2 linked regions of the Tribolium castaneum genome follow. The main gene of each other region encodes a partner of the protein of the gene in region 2 in a complex. Links are inferred from orthologs where the notes say so. Each region holds a gene or a part of one and is shown on either strand. Other genes may lie near its edges.

The links. The genes of interacting proteins can lie anywhere in the genome.
Region 1: the proteins of V-type proton ATPase catalytic subunit A (region 2) and V-type proton ATPase subunit D are in contact, whole or in part, in a cryo-EM structure (PDB 9B8P), measured with the Rattus norvegicus proteins. The link is inferred for Tribolium castaneum from reciprocal best matches to the Homo sapiens genes ATP6V1A and ATP6V1D. Residues at the interface, in NP_001101788.1 of Rattus norvegicus: Ala366, Met368, Pro369, Ala370, Asp371, Ser372, Asp416, Ser418, Asp436, Lys438, Glu491, Gln494, Leu495, Val496; in NP_955418.1 of Rattus norvegicus: Lys4, Asp5, Arg6, Arg167, Ala171, Val175, Ile176, Arg179, Tyr186, Glu190, Arg194, Glu197, Tyr200, Arg201, Lys204, Ile205, Lys208.

Annotation. Positions count from the first base shown.
Region 1 is NC_087402.1:2,631,128-2,634,385, forward strand, and holds V-type proton ATPase subunit D, read left to right. Parts: upstream 1-1,405; 5' UTR 1,406-1,516; coding exon 1,517-1,557; intron 1,558-1,665; coding exon 1,666-1,783; intron 1,784-1,829; coding exon 1,830-1,977; intron 1,978-2,034; coding exon 2,035-2,250; intron 2,251-2,296; coding exon 2,297-2,511; 3' UTR 2,512-2,756; downstream 2,757-3,258. Other genes in the region: AlkB (nucleic acid dioxygenase ALKBH1), read right to left, coding at 77-613, 659-885, 935-1,034, 1,082-1,180. UniProt on the Homo sapiens protein: Subunit of the V1 complex of vacuolar(H+)-ATPase (V-ATPase), a multisubunit enzyme composed of a peripheral complex (V1) that hydrolyzes ATP and a membrane integral complex (V0) that translocates protons.
Region 2 is NC_087402.1:9,102,514-9,105,584, forward strand, and holds the end of V-type proton ATPase catalytic subunit A, read left to right. Parts: intron 1-820; coding exon 821-972; intron 973-1,023; coding exon 1,024-2,161; 3' UTR 2,162-2,561; downstream 2,562-3,071. Other genes in the region: Sas10 (something about silencing protein 10), read right to left, coding at 2,574-2,666, 2,717-2,853, 2,900-3,071. UniProt on the Homo sapiens protein: Catalytic subunit of the V1 complex of vacuolar(H+)-ATPase (V-ATPase), a multisubunit enzyme composed of a peripheral complex (V1) that hydrolyzes ATP and a membrane integral complex (V0) that translocates protons.

The sequences.
Region 1 (3,258 bases), about 6.5 Mb from region 2:
TCTATAACAAATGTAATCCCATGTAAATATTTATTTATGTAAAATAAAAATACCATCTCGTATTTATTTTTTTATTTCACGTTTTTTCGTCAGATTCGCTACAAAGCCGTTTCTGGCCCCTTTGCAACACCTGTCTTACATTAATATTAATCCTAGAATTGTTCAAATAGTCGCCGAACGGCTTCCATAACGTCTCCTCTTTACAGATATTTACAACGTTTTTGCAATCATTCGTAAAATCATTTTCTTCAAAACAGTTCCAGAACCTGGAATCCATTTGTAAAATTTTAGGAACACCGTGGTAGCACAGCCTTGACTCTTCACTCATTACTACAATATCGCCACTTCGCAAAAACATCGCGGAAGGCTCGTCGTCTTTAGTCTTGCCTCCTAATAAAAAAATTGCAGTTTGGCCAAAACTAAGCGAGATAAGCGGAGCTTTTAAGTTGTGTTCCGAATGGTCAGTGTGACCTGACAAAGTTGAGTCCATGTGGTAATAATTCACAATTGCCGCTTCAGCGTTAAAATGCAAAAAGTTAAGCGACTCCGCTATAAATCTACTCAACTCGGCTAAATCTTTCGGAAACTCTCCTTTATTTTCCTCAGCGTAGACCTAAAAAATTGAATTAGCTCAACTCGGGGCTTTATGACCCAGCACTTTGCTCTCCCAATCGTGGTGATAACCCAAAGTGACCCATCGCAACTTGTTCATTAATATTTTGTTGTTATTGTTCTGACAAACTTCCCACCACTCCTTGCCCTCAGGTACTAAATTTAAAGCGTCCAAGTTCGTCTTATTTGGGCGCTTTGAGTAGTCCTGCAAGCAACGCACCACCCAGTACCTCTGCCCGATACTGGTGAACGGATTTTTAATAAAAATCAGCCCTTGAAACGAATTATTTATTGCAGGTGAATTTTTTACAACTCTAGTTACCGGGATGGTCAACTAATTCGTACACTTCCCACGTTTTTACGGGGTTTAGGCCAAAATTGCTGGCAGAATTGCCGGTCTTTTCCAAATTAATTCTCCTGACCTAAAAATTGCCTTTCATTATGAAAAACAGAATACTGCCAGACTTGCTTTTGACGAAAATTTCTCACAGTTACTAAAATCAAAGACTTTTTCCAAATCAGGGGGCGGATTTTTGGACTTGTAATATTTAAAACAATCCTTAAACATAATTATTTTGTTTACATAAGCTTTTTACATCACCAAATGTGAGGTTACGTAAATGACAGCTTACGTAACGTCGGTAACGTCAAGGTTTCTACTATACCGGCACCAAAAATGATTATTTGGACGCCAAATTGCATAATTTAACAATAATTACTCTCCCGTCAAACGAATAAATTAAAAGCATGCCTAAATCTGTTGAGTTTCCTTCGTAATTTTGGTTTCGTTGGTTTAGAAATGGTTTAGAACTAATGTTTAATAGAGGACGCTGGGAGCGTTCTTGTCATATGTCACGCGGTCAGCTGACTGATCTCGTGAAGTACATGAAAATAGTGCTGAAAAATGTCTTCGAAGGATAGACTGGCGATTTTCCCCTCTCGAGGGTACGTAAGCACCCTTTTTGTAGCTTTCCAATTGCGTAAAATCCCGATTTTAACGCTTGACGGAAAAAAATTCGTTAAAAAAAAGGGAGTGACCCCTTGTTCTTTCAGGGCCCAAATGTTAATGAAAGCGAGGCTAAAGGGGGCCCAGAAGGGCCACAGTCTGCTCAAAAAGAAGGCGGATGCGTTGCAAATGCGTTTCCGTATGATTTTGAGCAAAATTATCGAGGTTTGTTTGATCTCAAATCGATTTTTTGTCCCAATGTGGGTTTCAGACCAAGACACTTATGGGCGAAGTGATGAAAGAGGCGGCGTTCTCGTTGGCTGAGGCTAAATTTGCGACTGGGGATTTCAACCAGGTCGTGTTGCAGAATGTCACAAAGGCCCAAATTAAAATCAGGACTAAGAAAGATAATGTGGCTGGTTAGGGCGCCCTAGCTTATTTTTTTTTACAATTGATTATTTTTTTTTGTTGTATAGGTGTGACTTTGCCTGTCTTTGAGTGCTATCAGGACGGGACTGACACCTACGAACTGGCCGGTTTGGCCAGAGGTGGCCAGCAGTTGGCCAAACTCAAGAAGAATTACCAAAGCGCTGTGAAGCTTCTTGTTGAGCTTGCGTCACTTCAAACGTCTTTCGTCACTCTAGACGAAGTTATCAAAATTACGAACAGAAGAGTCAATGCTATTGAACACGGTAATTAGTTTTGTTTTGTGTTTTTTGTGTGTGATTTTTTTCCTAGTTATTATCCCGAGGATTGAGCGCACTTTGGCCTACATTATCTCCGAACTGGACGAACTAGAACGTGAGGAGTTCTACCGTTTGAAAAAAATCCAAGATAAGAAGAAAGTCGCGCGTGCTAAAGCTGATGCCATAAAGGCCGATAACAAAGCCCGCGAACAGGCGGCTGAAGTGGCTAATCTGCTAGATGAAGGAGACGAAGATCTTCTTTTTTAAATATATTTTTTTAAGTGTTGTATAAATTTCTGTACAAAGTTGCAAACTTTGATATTACGTGTTTCACTATAGCCAAGTATTATTAAGTCGCTGAAAAATCGGTCAGTTGCGAAGTTTAGGGGTTGGTTTCAAATTAGAGCGATAAGTGAAAATTCCATTTTTTTTCTAGTTTGTTGATTTAAGCGTAAGTTGTTTTAATTGAATGTATATTTACAGTTGATATCAATAAAATAGTTGACACGAAACCGCTTATTATTTATTTGACCTTTGACTTCCTCATTGGCACAGAATAAACATGAAAAAAAAATTCTTTCGCTTTCGCCAGTCTTGTTAAAGATATGTACAAGAAACACGTAAGAGAGAAGTTGGAAAGAATTTAATTTGCTACAAAAAATTCGGTGACATCATATCTTTATCCTAAGACCTTCAAAACCGCTAAAGCTATTTTACGTACCAAGGGAACACAAAAGCAATTTTTATTACTTTTTCTCTTTAACCACATTTGCAGTCTTTTGCAAAATATAAAGCTGTGTACAAATGATTAATTTTCTATTATAATTTTTTTTACATTATACAAAAACATTTAGGCTTGCATGTTTAATAGGCTGAGAAAAACTGACGACTAAAGTCTGAAAATTATTTATAAAATTTTTAATTTTTCAAAACTCTGCTAATACTTCGGCTAAAACGTTTAATGATACAAGAAAAATGTTAGAAAAAAAGTTGTAGAGAATTAATTTTTTTACA
Region 2 (3,071 bases):
TTTATGAGGAAATTGTTTAAATAAATAACTAATTACATTATAGTTATTTAAGCCAAAATTAAAAAAAAATTGAAAAAACAATAATAATAGAGGCGAACAGACATCTGAAACTTTGGACACGTCGACTTAAATATTTTTTTACTCTAAACCGATACAAAAATTGTTCAAAGGAAATGAGTCTTTCTAATAAGTAAAATGTGTTAAATTGTTCTTAGGTAAGTACTTTATAATAATATAATAATAATAAAAGAGCCAGTATCAAAATATGTGGAATTGACAAAAATAAATAAATCTAATCTAAAAACAAAACAACAAAAAAAACTTTTAAACGTTATCACGATAATTGTGATTGTAGTTAAAATTTAATTTGCCATGAACTCGAGGTTTGTCAATGCAAAACTAATGGCTACCTAATTCGAATTATTTTAATTCTGGATTATATCTTAATTTCTCGTTCTGTATACGACCAGAAATGTTTGAAACTTAATTGAAAAGGTCAAATAGAGAATCAAGCTAAGAATAAATTTCACACAAACCAGCCATGGTGAGATTAATTACCCAAGCAAGTTCTGTATCTTGACAATAAGAGCTAATCAAAACTTTTTTGATTATTTTCGTGTTTAGCTAGAGAAAATATTTCGGAAATAGCTATTTTTGAGTTGTGATATTATTTGTGGAACTTTGAACGTTCAAATGTTTTTTAATTTTAATTATAATTAAAATTTAATTTAATTTAATATTTAATTTTAATTATAAAAAGCCACTACTTTTAATTATTTTTCATTTGGGGAAAAAATTAAAAATTATCATTACGCTACAGGAAGTCGTCTTGGAGACGGAATTCGACGGCGAGAGGACCAAATACACCATGTTGCAAGTGTGGCCTGTGCGTCAGCCCCGTCCTGTCAGCGAGAAATTGCCAGCCAATCACCCCCTATTAACCGGTCAACGCGTACTCGACTCACTTTTCCCGTAAGCCCCCTTTCAAAAACTAGTCCCTTTTCTCTACCAATTTTTATTTAGGTGCGTCCAAGGGGGTACCACCGCCATTCCCGGAGCTTTCGGTTGCGGTAAGACCGTAATCTCGCAATCTCTCTCCAAATATTCCAACTCTGACGTTATCATTTACGTCGGTTGCGGGGAGCGTGGTAACGAAATGTCTGAAGTATTGCGGGACTTCCCCGAACTGACAGTCGAAATCGAAGGCCAAACAGAGTCTATCATGAAACGTACCGCTCTTGTCGCCAACACCTCTAACATGCCTGTAGCCGCCCGTGAGGCTTCAATTTACACCGGTATTACACTGTCTGAGTATTTCCGTGATATGGGTTACAACGTGTCGATGATGGCCGATTCCACCTCGCGTTGGGCCGAAGCTTTGAGAGAAATTTCCGGTCGTTTGGCTGAAATGCCCGCCGATTCTGGATACCCCGCGTATTTGGGGGCCCGTTTGGCTTCGTTTTACGAGCGTGCAGGGCGTGTTAAATGCTTGGGTAACCCTGATCGTGAAGGTTCCGTTTCTATTGTCGGGGCCGTATCGCCCCCTGGTGGTGATTTCTCTGATCCCGTCACCTCAGCTACCTTGGGTATCGTACAAGTGTTCTGGGGGTTGGATAAAAAACTAGCCCAACGTAAACATTTCCCTTCGATCAATTGGCTGATTTCCTACTCTAAATACACGCGCGCTTTGGACGATTTCTACGATAAAAACTTCCAAGAGTTTGTCGCGTTGCGTACTAAGGTCAAGGAGATCTTGCAAGAAGAAGAAGACTTGTCCGAAATCGTGCAACTGGTCGGTAAAGCCTCCCTAGCCGAGACCGATAAAATCACTCTTGAGATTGCCAAGTTGCTTAAGGAAGATTTCTTGCAACAGAATTCGTACTCGTCGTACGATAGGTTCTGTCCGTTCTACAAGACGGTGGGTATGTTGAAAAATATGATCGGTTTGTACGATATGTCGCGACATGCTGTTGAAAGCACCGCGCAGTCTGAAAATAAAATCACGTGGACCGTGATCAGGGATTCCATGAGCAATATTTTGTACCAGTTGAGCAGTATGAAGTTCAAGGACCCAGTTAAAGACGGCGAGGCGAAAATCAAAGCCGATTTTGACCAGTTGTACGAGGATATTCAACAAGCCTTCAGGAACTTGGAGGATTAAATTAGTTTTATTGTAGGCCGTATATTTAACCTCACTATAAAATTGCCGTCTTTCGATATTAATGTACAATATGTTTATAAATGAATTAGTTCATAGGTCTAAGTCCTATAGATTAGAGGTGAGGGTAAATTGCTAAATTTCGTCCCTTCATTCCAGTTACTTTTAAGGAATTTTTATTTTCGTGTTTCCGTGCAATTATCAGCTTTCCAGTATTATCGGGACCTTTTTTTCTTTACATTTTATTTTTTCGTTATTTACGCATATTTCGATGTTGTATATTTTATCATGTTATTCAAACGGCTACTTGTACAGTTATCTGTGTTAATATTAAGTGAACTAGCTAGAAAATAGCACAATAAATTGTTTTATTGTAAACAGAAATAAAAGCATTGTTGTTTCATATGCGTTTTTATTAAGTCTTAATTTTAATGCTCTTGGAAACACTTGCTTTAATCCCGGAAAGCTCCCCACCATATCTCGTCATTTCGGTTCGCGGCTCACGAACCTAAAAATAGCGCAATTAAATTTAAGAAAAAATACTAAAAGTTGACATACAGCTCCTCTCCTTCGTATTTTTGCTTTTCTAAACTTGTTCCTATGCTTCACTCTTGGATTTCTTTGTTCCTTCTTTCTGTGCGGCGTGAGACCCTTATTTTTGGCAATCTGGTAAGTTATAGCCCTCTTGCCAGGATCTACAACAAAACATGACTAAAAAATCGCAACAAACAAAAATCAAACCATTCTCGGGAACATTTGCCTCTTCGTCTTGCATTTGCTGTTCATTATCTGTTGCTTCTTTTTCGTCCACTTCTGGTTTAAATTGGACTTTTTTCCCTGCTGGTTTCTTGTCTTTCTTTTCCGTTTTGTTAACCAATGTGCTCAACACCTTTAATGTTTTTTTCGGAACTTC